Linked DNA regions of Rhinolophus ferrumequinum. The protein of the gene in region 1 interacts with the protein of each later gene in a biochemical or structural test. Links are inferred from orthologs where the notes say so. Each region holds a gene or a part of one and is shown in the gene's direction. Other genes may lie near its edges.

Region 1 (7,050 bases):
TTGTTAAAATGTCAGCTGGGGCTTGCCACGTCTTCCACGATCAGTGAACATTGGGCCTGGAGAATGTCAGCATTTTCCCCACTATTCTGTAAATTTCTGGGCTGCTTATGTTTTCAAGGCCATTCTAGGTTTGTGACTTCTGGCTCCTGGGTCAGCCTAAGTTCGCTCTTAGATCAGGAAACTTTCCTTCCATCATTTCCTTATTTCTTCTCATCTTCCTCCACCTATTTCATTCTCTCTTCTGGTAACTTTGTAGGGTGTGGATAAGGGATTTGTCTTCCACATACCTTTTCCATAAGCTTTTTGTTTTTTTAAGAAAAGTCATTTTTTTATCTGTTTCCTCTTTCTATTGGAAGAAGTCACCATTTATATTCCCTAATTCAGTCATCCGCGTGTGCAGCCTGCCATCCACTTTCTCCTTTATGTGTCTTTAATCCCAAAACCACACTTGTCATGTCCATTCTGTCCTCCTTTGCTGCTCATTTTCTGTGACAACTATGATCAAGTTACATAGAACCCATGTCAGTCTTGCTGAGAACATGAAATAGACATCAATTCTAACTTTCAGTTGTTGTCTGTGAAGAATTAATTTATTTCTGAAGGAGGACGCAACTGTGAGTCTCCACATAATTGTCGTTTGCTTTTTGAATTACAGCTTTTTTTTTCATTTATTCACCCATATAGAGGGAGAGTTATTTGTCTTTTTTTTTTAAACCAAAAAATTTCTGTCTTTTAATTGTGTCTTGTCTTTTTCTTCTCCTTTTACTTTTTCTTCTTCTCCTTCTTCCTTTTCTTTACGTAACATCTATTTGTGCTCTGCTGGTTTCATTTTAATTCAGTTCAAAGTTCTTTCTAATTTCCTTTTTGCTTCTTTCGTGGATTATTTAGGAATATGTTATTTCGTTTCCAAATATTTGGGGTTTTTCAGACTTATTTCTGTTTTTGATTTCCAATTTCATTTCACTTTGATCAGAGAATATACTTTGCATGATTTTAATCCATTTAAGTTTATTGAGATTTGCTTTATGACTAAGATTATCCTGGTAGACGTCTGTATGCATTGGAAGAGAATGTGGATCCTGCTGTTAGGTGCAACATCCTATAAAAGTCAATTAGGTGAAGTTGGTTAAAATGTTGTATTCAAGTCTTCCACACCCTCACTTGTTTTCAATCTCGTTGTTCTATTAAGTATTGAAAGAGGGATGTTGAAATATCTGCCTTTAATGGTGGATTTGTCTGTTTCTTCTTACTGTTCTGTGACTTCTGTTTCCTGTATTTTGAAGCTGTCTTATTTGGTGAATGAATGTTTAGGATTGCTATTGATCCTTTGTTATTATGAAATCCCCCCCTTTGTCCCTTGTAGTAATTAATAGTAGACATCTCTCCATGGCTGGTAGCAGCAGAGCCGTTCCAGCTTTATTGTGACCAATGTGAGCGTGGGATAGCTTTTTCCATCCACTTCTTTCTCAGCTATTTGTATTTTCTGTTTAAAATGGGTTTCTTTTAGCATGCAGTTGGTTCAATCTGACAATCTCTGTTTTTAAATGGAGTGTTTAGACCATTTACATTGAATGTGATTATTGATGTAGATAGATTAAAATCATGTTCTTTGTTCCCCCTTTTCCTTTTTTATCTGTTTTCTTTTAGATGAAATTAATATTTGTATGATTTTATTTCATCTTCTCTGTTGGCATATGAACTAGGGCTCAATTGTGTTATTTTAGTGGTGGCTTTGGGGTTAATAGTCACCATCCAACTGTTTTATTATATGAAATGTATAGGGTCTACTCCTGGTCCTTGTTCTGTCTCTTAGTGCTTTCTGTGTTATAACTGGTGTTTTATAATTTTGGATTATGAGCTCATCTGCAATAGGAACTTAATCTGTGGAAATTCTGTGAGGCCTGGGTCTAGGGAGTTTGCCTCTGGGTCAGTTTTATGTCTGCCTCGCCAAGGCTCCATTCTTTACGTGTTATTTCTTATTGTCGGTATTCCTGGGTCATAAAAGTAGTATATATTCAAATATCAAAGGCACATGAGGATGGGCCTTGGTTATTAATTGTCAGAGGAGTCCTTTTTTCCTTGACCCAGACTTTAGGTCGAATCACAGCGGCTTCTGTGTTTCCTTGGATGTAAAGGTAAACTTTTTTCTGTTCCACTTTTTCACTGAGGATACAGCACTTGAAGAGCTGTCGTTGCTGTAGAGATTTCAGCCACAGCTCCCCGGGCATGAGACTGTGTCTCCGACACCTGCTGAGGTCCCATCCTGTGGCTTCCAGGTTCCCAGCAAGCACCAGTCCCTCAGGTTGATAACAGTGTTAACACACGTGCTTAGCTCTCCGTTCTCTATTTCTTCTGCCCATTTAGAGAGCTCAGCTATGCACTTAAACGAATGTCTGATATATTTCACCCAGAGGCTCTCCACAGTTATCTGGTCCTCCAGATTGTCAGGAACAGGACTTTCCAGCTTGCTTCTCGGCCCACTATCTGCAGACGTCCACCTCCACAGCTCCAGTGACGCTGCCCCTCCAGCAGCTGTCAGGTTCCTGGGATGCTGCTTCCGCAAGGATGCGTCCAGCACAAGTGGTAACAGACCCGACTAGAGTGGCTTCAGCCACAAAGATGCTTAATTTTCCTGGGACAGGTGGACCCAGGGGCGGGCCGCTGGGTCTGCCAGGGACCCCTTGTCTGCTATGATTGCATAGGACGGTATAGAACAAAACTGGTTTGGAAAAGGCCCTTTTTCCTCTCAGAGGCCCTTTTCACTGCTGCCTGCACGTGAGCCTCCTTTGCTCAAACAGACCCCCAAATTGCAGAGTGACAATTATACGATCTCCTCCTCAGGAAAGTGGTCTGCACAGTTTGTTTACTAGTTTGAGAGAGTATCAGAGCTTAGACTCAACCCCAGGGTGGACAGTGACGGAAGAAAAATCTTTCATTTGACTTACTTTAAATCACCCAGATGCGTTTATTTGGAAGTGACTGGATTAAGTGTCTCATATTTGGCAGAATGGGGGCAGAGGGGCTGGATGTAGGAAGTTTGGCTCAAGACGAAGAAGGGTTTACATTTTTGCCTGCCTGAGTTAGTATCTGACTGTCAAATTTGCATCTGCTACGTCTGTTTACGTTTCTGTTGCTTCTAACAGACAGCGCAGTGCCTCAAGGTCAGACGTCTTGCTGTGTGCATTTCTTTAACATTTCTTTAACACCTCATTCCTCCCTCTCTCCTTCCTGGTGCCTGGGACCAGCCCTGCAACACAGCAGGCGGCTCTACAGGACATCTGGTTAGTAAGAGATGGAATGAATGAATGAACGGGAGGAAACAAGCCCAGTAGATTTTTAAACCACATCTATTTAACTGTATCCTGATTGAGCAGAGAAACTAGAAATGCAGAGAGAGAGAGAGAGAGAGAGAGGGAGAGGAAGAGAGAGAGAGAGGGAGAGCTGCAGACAGAGCAGAGCTACGATAGCTAGAAACAGCCTCATCAGAGCCAGCGGGGCCCCACCTGACTCCTACTGCAGATGCAAAAAAAAAGAAGAAGGGACTGGACGGTTCGGGGGAGCGGTGCCCCGTGTCCCGCAGCTGCTCAGCCCCCACAGCCGCCCACTCCCACTGCTCAGGCGGCTTGGAAGTGGTGGGGGTAAGGGGTGGGGGCGGGGTGGGGAGCAGCCAGAGTCAGGCTTTCCAGAACGAGGCGGAATGGTGTGAGCTCAAACGCCCTGCAGTTGCTGGGCCCGCGGTGGCGAGACTTGGGTTATTCACAAAGGCTGGGAATCGGATGGGGCTGGCACTGCTCCAAGTCGCAGAAGCTGGGGGGAGGGGGAGACGCAGCAGAGCGATTACCCAGATCTTAGCGTTGCAGGGGCTCCAGGGGTCTCCATCTGCATCCGTCCCTCTACCACTGCGTTTTGGGGGTAGGGGGCCCCCTCCAGAAACACTTTATCTGTCAGCTTGTGAGCTGGAGGTGGGGGCGGGGGCCGAAGTTAGGCAGACTCGTCTCGTCACGTGACGGGGGACCTGTATCACGTGATGAGTCCGGTGATGGTGGAGGCAGCATGTGACTCGGGGCTACGTGGGCTCGAAAACAATTTAAACACAAACACACCAGCAGGTCCCCCTCCTGTCCGCTGCCTCTCGGCCTGGCTCTCCCCACCTCGGGGCTGGAGCCCGGCTGGATGGAAGTCCCGTCGTCCCGCGCCCGCTAGCCTGTGAGCACCGCGTCCCTGGAGCTGCAGGGAGCGTCCCGGAGCCGTGCCCGTCATTCTGCAGCCCGCGGACTCCCAGGCTGGTAAGTGACCGCACGCTGAGCGGGGAGCGGTGACGCTGCGTACAGGGCACCCCGGCGGGGCCCTGCCCGGGGCCAGGGCGGCCCGGCCCCTCCGCGCTGCCGGGCTCCTGCGCCCGCGCGGCCGTGGCCCGCGCGGCCCCCCCACGCATCTCGCTGAGGTCTCCCCTGCCCTCACCGTCTCCCTCTCCACCCCACGTCTTGTTTCTCTCTTTTTCGTCGGCCCCACTTTCCCTCTCTCCTCTCTCACTGCTTTTCTGACGAGGTCCTCTCCCCTTCGTCTCTTACATTTATTTTCTTGGACACCTAGGTCTTCATGTTCTTTCCATCCAGAACCTGCAAGGACAGCTTCTGAGCACTTGGGGACTGAAGCTGTGCCAGCTGCCCCTCGTGAAACGTTTCTCGCGCGGAGACCGCGGAGATGGCCCAGTGCCCGTGGTGCTCGCGCACGCACGTGTTCAGGCTGATTGACACATTTTGTGGCGCCGTCAGATGTGTTTCTTGGGTGGATGTTCGTGGGCTCCAGATCCAGCTGAGCTAGGGGACCAGGAGGGGCAGTTACAGCTGTTGGGGGACGCTGCTCCCTGACCCCGGATGTGGACTCCCCACGGGAGAACGCAGGAGGCAGCAGCCGCGCTCAGTGCTTGCAGGCTCCTGGGCCGCGTGTCACAGAGCTGGCTCAGAGTTCGGGGCCACACGTTGGCAGGACGAGGCAGAGCGGTGGCCGAGGCGCATGCGATCACGGCAGTGTCCACAGCCACGCAGCAAGCACTTTGTTGGCTGCAGAAGCCTCTGATTCACTGTTGTCCAGATATGCTGCCTTCACTCGGCAAGAAATAATTAACAATTACTGAGCACAAGGCACCCAACAGCTCAAGGGGGGGGAGGTAGGTGCTATTTTTACCCCCTTGTTAGAGGTGGGGAGACTGAGGCATGAAGCAGGTCACTAGCTAGTAAGGGGTGGAGCTCAGGCAGCTCTTATCCAGAGCCTGCACAGCTGACCACGAAGAAGACCTGCCTCAAAAACTTTCGACTGCCCGGCTATGTGACAGTTAGCGTGCAAACGTTGGGCTGCCTCTATGAGCAAAGCAGACACGGTGTCCTTGCCAAGTTCATGGTGCCGTAGAGAAGGCAGCTCAGAAACACGCCATCACCCAGGCAGGGTGGTATTTCAAACGGGGGTATTGGCCACAGAGGAAATAGTAGGGTGCCACGAGGATATAGAACTGGACACATACTTCTGTGGGGGCCCAAGGTGGCCAGCTGGCCAAAGGAGCCCCCTCTGCTCATGTCATATTTAAGTTGTGACCTGAGAGTCCGCCAGGTGAAGAGCCGGGAAGAATAGTCCGGACAGAGGGAATGGCATGTGTGAGGGCCGTGAGGGCCGAACTGGGGCCAGCTGAGTCCCAGGGCTGAGCACATCAGATTCTGTGGGTCTCTGTAGGTCTTACTAAGTGACTTGCTTGGGTCTCACCGTAGGATCAGTGAGCAATGATGAAAGCATTTTAACTAGGGAAGTAGCACAACCACACCTGCAACATGAGACGACTTCTAGAGGTGTATACGTTCATTTTGGCGATATTGCAAACCACCCCAAACGTAGGGGCTGGACACCGCAGACACCGATAGCTCGTTATGCTGGCAGCTGGCAGTCAGGACGGTCCTTCTTCTTCTTTACCCCGACTGGGTTCCCTCCTGTGCCTCTGGCTGCAGGGGGGTGGTCTTAGGTGGTCTCACTCATGTGTCTCCTGATTAGCAGGTGCAATTGAAATTGCCCGGGCCACGTGTCTCCCTATGGAGCCAGCCAGCTCAGTCTTCTTCATATGGTGGCTGGGTTCCAAAAGTGGCAAGAGAGGGGGTGCCCCAATGCACAAGCACGTTTCAAGCAGCTGCTTCCATCGTTTGCTAGTGTCCCATTGGCCTAGACAAGTCACATGATCGAGGGATGGCGAGATACACCTCTCGACCAGGGAGCTACAAAATATTGTATCTATTTGTTCCCAGCCTACTGTGAATTCAAAATGGGGAGCTGGCTCCAGTCTTCCTCTCTTATGGGAGGAGCTGAAAGCCAGGAGAAAGCCTGGAGCCGATTTTGCTGTGATTGGAGATGAACTTAGACTTGGCCGTATGTCAGACTGTTTTCTGCTTAGAACACGTGGGAGCCTGAGCACCGGTTTTGGACAGGGATCAGGAGGGTGTCAGGAATGTGGTGTAGAAGTGTCCCTTCTCTTCTCTCAGGGTCACCTGGGCCTGACGTGGAGTCCAGGAAGACTTGTGCGATTGTTACCCTGGGATGAAATTTGGGCCACATGGACCTCGGAGTGTGTTGAAGGGTCCCAGACGAGGCGAGAGCACGTGCAAAGACTCCGAGGGAAGGAGGTAGATGGCTTGTTTGGGACCTAGGAGGCACTTTCGCTTATGTGCGTATAGTGGGGATGGAATGGGAGTGGACAGACTCGAAACCTGTTTTAAGAGGTAGAAGTAACAAGCCAAGCCGATGGAGCTGAAGAAAAGGGACAGAGGCAAGGTTAGTGATAGGATTTCCTAAGGAGTTGATTAGAACATTCTTTGGGTGATGGTGTCGGGACGAGAGCAGGAAAAACCTCAAGCATCCTATCCACTGGGTCACATGTTGCTGAGACACTGAGAACATTGAAGGCAGAAAAGTGTCTGTCTGACTTGGCAATGTGGAGGTAGCTGAAGGCTTTGATACGAGCGATTCTGGTGAGGTGGTGAGGATGGAAACCCGGTGGGAGTGGGTTCAGGA
Region 2 (7,667 bases), on another chromosome or scaffold:
ATTTGATTAAGGCAGGTCAAATCGGAGGAGTGGGGTGGGTGGAGCTCTGGCGGAGGGGCTGAAAGGGGGCTCAAGGGGCTCTGGGAGCAGCTTCAGTATAAAATAGACAACCGTTTATTTTGTACTTTCCTCCTACAAAAACAGGCTGAAGTGAGGAAAGGCAACTCAGATTTATTTCAATTTATCTTGTGAGAGACCTACATTTGAGACTTAAACTAGTTGTAGAACTGTCCTTAGATAGTTGACCTTTATGGGTATCACATTCTGTCTCTTTTAAAATTATTTTAAATTACACAAATAAAACATCCTCTTGGTAAAAAGTTCGAATACATAGTATAGTAATATATGGAATAAAAAGCAAAAGTTCGCTTTACCCTTCCTCATTCCACTTCACTCCCCAGGGATAACCATTGGTGTCAGTTATGATGTGTGTGTGTGTGTGTGTGTGTGTGTGTGTGTGTGTGTGTGTATCTTTCCAAAACCTTTTTTGCATTTAGTTATATGTAGATATAGACAGTTATTTTCTCCTACACAAATGGTAACATACAGATTATGCCATCGCTTTTTTTTCTGGTCACTTAAATTTTGTATTTAACAATATATCTTGGAATCATTTCATAACAGTACATATAGATTTACCTCATTCTTTTAAAAAGAGTTCATAGCATTCCACCGTATGACAATACCATACATTTATTTAACCTCTTCCGTATTGTTTCCAATCTTTTGGAGCCTCATAAACAATGCAGCAGTGGATATCTTTTTTTTTTTTTTTTTTGGTCAAAATTCACTTTGTTTTTTAACTTTATTTCATCGGAATGGGATAACAAAATTGGCACACAAAGGACACTGATACTGGGCCTAATTACAGAAAATGCCTCCAGATAAGTGGTAGGAAGATGAAAGAAACAAAAATAAACAAAGAAATTGGAGTTTTCAGAAAGTGAGTTCTGGGCCCGCCTGGTAGCTGGGGTGGTTGGAGCGCGGTGCTCCTAACACCGAGGTTGCCAGTTTGATTCACAAATGGGCCAGGGAATTGCGCCCTCTACAGCTAAGATTGTGAACAATAGCTCTTCCTGGAGCTGGGCTGGCGCAAGCTGCCACGGAGCTGTGTCCTACACAACTAGACTGAGAAACAATGGCTTGAACCAGAGTGGGGCGGGGGAGGGGGGGAAGAAGGGGGGAAAAAAAAACGAAAGTGAATTCAAATGTTAGTTCTGCCACAATCTATGACTGGAGATGAGTTGTCCTGTCTAAGCCTGTTTTCTCCTCTGTCATTGGATTTGAGATCACTCACTTTACCACTTTAACAGTCTGAACCAGTCTTTTGTCACTGGTATGTCCCTTTTTGGCCATGTGACACCACACTGGTCCAGGCTAAGGAGAGAAGGCCACAGTGGTTGAGTTGCTTTGAGGATCTGGACTTGGCTCAATAAAACCACTTGGTTTGCTCAGATCGGGCAGCCTGGGCCCAAAGCTGGGCCTGACAGTCTGGTGACACCACACCTAAACCTTAGGTACCAGGGAACAGAGGGATGAGGAAGGATCAGCACCAATTCTGGAGTGAGGAACCCAATGAAAATAGAGCTCTCCAATTCTGGTTCTAATTTTTCTACCCAGGCTGTTTTAAATCAGGTTCTTCCCAAATGAAAAAGATCTCAACTCTTATGCAACCTGTTCTCCCCCATCTTTTTAAAAATCTTTTTGTTTTGACAAACTTGTAAGAAATCAAGACAGCTTTTCCATAGGTGATGCCTCTTGGACCTTCATCTCCCTGATTGCCATTCTCCCATAACTAAATGCAAACTCTCCCAGGACTGTGCTTTGTCTTCCCAGTGTCCCAAATGCTCAATATGCTTACAGTAGATGCTGTTGAACAGGTGAATAATCCCCTCACCTGGACTGAAAGGCCGTGTGTGTGGGGAGGGGAGAGGGGTGAATGCTGATGACAAACCCTGGAATTAAGGTGAGACTCCTCATGAGTGAATATCTTGATACATTCATTCACCTCTGTACAAATTTGCAATATTCACTTGCAGAATAAATGTCTAGATATGGGATTATTGGGTCGGTGGGTCTGTGCATTTTCAATTTTGATAAACTTGGTCAAAATGGCTGCTATCCATAGAGGTTTTTAGCAATTTTTTACAGCAGCATTGAAAAGAAGGACCTTATTCCTCATCCTTGGTCTGTTAAAGAGGCCTTTTCTATCACTAACATTGTAATTCTATAAAGCTACTTCTCTGTTTCCTGATATTTCAGCACTTATTTGCTCATGTCTGCCATGTGCCAGGCACTGTGCTAGGTGCTGGGAATACAGCTCGGAACAAGACTAAAGCAATCCTTGTCCTTGCTGTATGTGAGGTCCTGAGTCTCATTCAGTTGCTTGAAAACACGAGACACGCAGTAAATGTTTGCTGAAAGAGTTGGCCTCGAACCAAGGAAAAGCAGGTGTCAAAAAGTACTTTTAGGTGAAATAAGCCAGTCACAAAAAGACAAATAGTGCATAATTCCACTCATATGAGATATTTCAAGCAGTCAAAATCTTAGAAAGTAGAATGGTGGTTGTCAGGGACTGAGGGAGGAAACGAGTTGTTTATGGGTATAGAATTTTAGTTTTGCAATATGAAACGGTCTAGAGGTCAGTCGCACACCAATATGCATCTAATTGACACCAACGTATGGTACACTTAAAAATGGTTAAGATGGTAAATTTTGTTACCTGTTTTTACCACAATAATAATAATAAAGTATGTTTAGGCACAAAAGGTAGTGCTTCTGAGCTTAGCCTCAAAACGGGGTGATGAGGAAGACACTTGATTTTTTATTTTTTAACAGGACTTTATTGGGGAACAGTGTGTACTTCCAGGACTTTTTTCCAAGTCAAGTTGCTGTCCTTTCAGTCTTAGTTGTGGAGGGCGCAGCTCAGCTCCAGGTCCAGTTGCCGTTGTTAGTTGCAGGGGGCGCAGCCCACCATCTCTTGCACGACTCTAGGAGTCTAACTGGCAACCTTGTGGTTGAGAGTCCACTGGCCCATGTGGGAATCGAACCAGCAGCCTTCGGCGTTAGGAGCATGGAGCTCCAACTGCCTGAGCCACTGGGCCTGCCCAAGATACGTTTTTTTTTTGAAAGGTAAAAGTGCCAACCAGTCAATGCTTCCTTTCCAGTGCTCCCGTCCTCCTCTGGGAACAGATGAGCATAAAATCTTATCATCTACTATAGAAAATACATTCTAGGGCCAGCCTGGTGGCTAAGGTGGTTGGAACACCGTGCTCCTAAAGCCGAGGTCACTGGCTTGATTCCCACATGGGCCAGTGAGCTGCGCCCTAGGTCTACAGCTAAGATTGTGAACAATGGCTCTCCCTGGAGCTGCGCTGCTGTGAGCAGCTGGAGGTTGGCATAAGCTGCTGTTGGCTGCTGTGTGTGCTGCCCTAAGCTACCGTGAGTCACCAGGAGTGGCCAGCAGCCACCATGAGTGGCCAGCAGCCAGAGTGAGTGGTCGGCAGCCAGCGTGAGCAGCCGGCAGCCAGTGAGAGCTGCCAGTGAGCTGCTGTGAGTGGCCCACCATAACCAGCGACTGGCTGCCTCAGCAAGGGGTGGGGGAGTGCAAGGCTCATAATACCAGCATGGGCAGAGGAGCTGTGTTCTACACAACTAGACTGAGAAACAAAGCTTGAACCAGAGTGGGGGCGGGGAGGCGGAAGAAAGGCGGGGGAATAAAAGAAAATACATTATAGAAAAAGATATGTTTCTATGTTTTTTCTCCCAAGAACAAATGGCACTGGTATCCTTTCTGGTACCGCTTACAAGGCATAAACCAAACGAGAATTTTAGCTTCCTATCTCTCTTTTAGGGGTCCCCTCTTCAACAAGTAGAATGAGAAGAAAAAGTTGTCTTGATGAAAGTGAGGCAAGCTAGGACCCAGTGGGGCCTGAGAGACTACATTCTCCAGCATGCACTGCTCCTCCCCGGGCGCAGTAAGTGACGGGAAAAGACGCATTACTTCTGCGACAGGAATGGGCCGGAGGGAGAGGAATACTGCATATCCCGGGACGCAGAACGTCGCCCTTCTAGTTACGGACTGGCTTGCTTTCTGATGGCTGGCGTTCCCCGCCAAAGGGACGCGAGGGTAGGGGGATGTTTAAGATTGGGAAGCCCCCCAGTCTACTGGACTTGACAAGTGGAAAGAGAAAGGAGTGAAGGAAGGCTGTTCCAGTATAATTCAAAGTAGTTCCCGCGCAGAGTGGCGAGGATTTATGGGGCCCCCTTCCTTATTTATTGTTTCTCAGAGGCAATGCCAGTCCCACGGCCCACAATGGTGAAAGACCTCCAGGGCAGGTGGGAAGTCCGTGAAGCCCCAAATCGAAGTTATCTGCGTCTCCCCATTGGCCTTCGCTCGGGCGCAGGCGCAAGGGCTCTGACTCCAGTCCCTAGGGACGGGAAAGCGGCAATTGGCCAAAGCCCTCGAAGTAGGACTCCGGATTGGTAGTTGCTAGCAGGAGCTTGGTTTCTTCCTTGACTTCTGCAAGTGATAGTGTGTGATTGGTTTAAATCCGCGGGCACCTAACGGTGATTGGGCGGGTGCCACGGGCGGGGTACGATCATTGGCTGGTGCTAGGACCAGCCCTCCTCGGGCGGGCAGCGAATGATGAAATGAGAACGGGGAGGGGAAAGGCCGCGACGTGAGCGCGCGACCTCCGGCGCCATTTTGTAGAGAAACAAGCGGAGTTAACCGAAGGAGGGGGTCGAGGAGAGCCGGAGTCGGGGACCCAGGAGTTTCCTGTGTCCAGCGCTGCCGGAGCCGCCTGAGGTGAGGTGGGCTAAGGCCGGCTGGCGGTGTCAGCTACGGAACGCGGGTGCTGAGGGGGGAAGGACTGGGGGTAGTAGTCCCGGGGCCACTGGGAGCGTTTACCGGAGCTCCGCGGAGTGAGGGGCGGTCGGGACGGGGAAGTGGCGAGACGGGAGAGGTCGGACTCTCTCCCCCTGGCTGGCGGAGTGTTTGGGCTGCGAAGAGAAGAGGCCAGGGCGAAGGCTCCCCAAAGCAGAGGGCAGAGCGCGGGGTGAGACCTGGTGGCCCTCGGCCCGGGCCTGGAGACTCTGAGGGCGACGGTGGCGGTAATACAGACGGCAGGGCCTCACTTCGCGCGGGCTGCACCCTCCTCAGACCCCACGAGCTCCTCAACTGCCTCTTTCTCCCTGGGCTCTCGGATAGGTGCAGTGGGCATTGGCCCCCGAGGCCTAGATCCTGGGGCGAGGGGACTGTGTTTGGAGTAGTTGCAGGCTCCCAGTTCTTTCCCGTCGACTTGGGAGCTGCCAGTCCCCCTCCCCCCGCCCCCAGCACGTTGTCAAACCCCGGGTGTTTCGGGTCCCTGCGGGTGGGAGGGGCGGGCGGGAGCGAGCACTTCCTTATTACTTCTGCCACAGGTTTTGTTCCACTCGCGCGCCCGCGGCTCACACTTTCTCCGAAGTTGGCCCCCACCCACTTGGTCCAGTGTCTGTGCTAAAGTGGCCGTTGTGCTCACCCATGGGAAGTGTCCCCCTAGTGAGCTGAGCCCTTGGAGGCCACGATACTGGTGAGAGATTTACTACAGGTCTTGGTAGGGTTGCCGAAGGCCAAACAATATTGAAATTTCACAGACTGAAGTGTCCTTTTTAAGTACCACCTCCTCCGCAGAATTCACCTAACCGGGCTCACACAGATAATTGCCACCACGAGGAGTAAGCTTTCTGGGTTAAAAACAGAAAATGCTTGATAACGGTGTTTGAAAATGTGTTTAAACTTGGAGGAGTAAACTTTTCCCCTGAAGTCACTCAATGAACTGTCACATTTCTCAGGTCTCTTAAAGTCAGTTTTCTTCCTGAAAGCTGAGTAATAATACTTAATCTCCACCTTCCATTATTTATAATTCGATTGCCTTGAGGGATTTATGTTAACAGTGAGTAAATAATTAAGAGAATATAATTTCAGTATTTTTTGCAAAAAAAATTTCGAGCATTTCCCTATGACAGTCTGATAGGAATGGATGAAAAAACGGGAGGACAAGTAAAAAATTTGGAAGTAGGTGAAACAGGTTAAGAAGAAACTTGTTTTTGTAGACATATTTGGTTTTAATGTTAGTGATCTGTGGCCCAGGTTGACATTTCTACCCTTCCAAAGATTGGCAGTATAGTATTTTAGCTGTTAATAATATATATATGGTAACAGTTTAAATAATCATGTTTTAGGAGACTGCATATTGTTACCTTGTCTAAGGAGAAAATGAGCTGATGATACATAAAGTTTTAGACCTCTAGTTGTGCTCTGAAATGGTAGCTTCTTGATAAAACTTGTTTGGAGAGTTTGTCCCTTTTCAACAAGTGTGGATCCCAAGTCCTATAGTAGAAACTTAAGTTTAGAATCAAGGCACAAAGACTTGACCATTAATAACTGAAAGTGTTTCCCTTTCTTGCCTAAGATTGTAATCTTAGAAGTTTTAAGTCAGAAGTTTTGAGGCATGGTGGAACAACTGAAATACTCTATTTCTAGTCACTAAATTTCTGTGAGGGTTTAAATCCTGTCTCTTTAACATGGATCTTGTCAGGCTAAGTACTGTGATATCCTCCTGACTTTGGGTTAGAGCATTGAAAACAAAACAAACCTGTGGGGACAGAAGAGGAAATGCTTGCTATCTCATCAAAACATGCTTAAAGACTAATGTCATTATTCTTGCATGTTGCTTTTTCCAAGTATGTTTTTGGTTAGATTCTGGTTTAGTTAGGAAAAGCTTTCCTTTTAACCAGCTTAAATTTATGAACTGGAATCTTTACTTCATTCTACAAAGTAACAGATCTTTGGCACTCAGTGCCCCAGAAGGGAATTTGTCCACAATGATTATAATTGAATGCTCATATATTTTAAGACACTAATTTTTTTTGTTAGATGCCTGTGCTTCTTGAATTAACAAGTATTGTAGCCCGTCATTTTGAAACACTATATTTTATGAATGTGGTATATTCTTTTATGAAAGAACAAAACTAACTTTCAAGTCATTGAAAAATATTAGCCAAGCATTTCTTAAATGGCCCTCTCACCAAACTGAACTTGCTGCTGGGAAGTTTCAAAATGGCATCCCACTGATTCTTATTTTAAGACCTTATACTGTATATAGAAAAATCCTGCAGTTCCCTTTTCTGTTTGCTTACAGTTTTTAAGAAGCCTGTTTCAAAATTAAAATGGCCTCAAATCCTTTTGTCCTGTGTATACACAATAGTTTATTTCAATGTACTTTTCACATATACCTTTGTAAGGGTGTAGTAAAGCAAATAAAACATATTGTTCATTGAAAAGCATTGTTTGAGATGTCAGTAATTAGAGGTGTAGACTTAATCTGAAATCCTCTGTTGAGATTGAAGAAAAAGCAGCTTTTGGGAGTGTAGACTTGAAGAAATGTGCTTCCGTTTTCTTTTTAATTTTTTATTTTTTCAATTGGGGAGCATTGTGTTTTACCAGGACCCATCATCTCCAAGTCAAGTCGCTGTTTTTTCAGTCTAGTTTTTTTTTGGTTGGGGGGGGGGGGGAGAGCGCATCCCACTGGGCCATGTGGGAATCACACCCTTGACCTTGGTGTTGTGAGCACTGCGCTCTAACCATTGAGTGAACCGCTCTAACCATTGAGTGAACCGGCTGC

Evidence for each region. The genes of interacting proteins can lie anywhere in the genome.
Region 2: the proteins of TNRC6A (region 1) and CNOT1 form a complex in vitro, tested with the Homo sapiens proteins (2 studies listed by BioGRID). The link is inferred for Rhinolophus ferrumequinum from reciprocal best matches to the Homo sapiens genes TNRC6A and CNOT1.

What each region holds. Positions count from the first base shown.
Region 1 is NW_022680357.1:18,042,522-18,049,571, forward strand, and holds the start of TNRC6A (trinucleotide repeat-containing gene 6A protein), read left to right. Parts: upstream 1-4,040; 5' UTR 4,041-4,286; intron 4,287-7,050.
Region 2 is NC_046298.1:10,854,774-10,862,440, reverse strand, and holds the start of CNOT1 (CCR4-NOT transcription complex subunit 1), read left to right. Parts: upstream 1-4,657; 5' UTR 4,658-4,810; intron 4,811-7,667.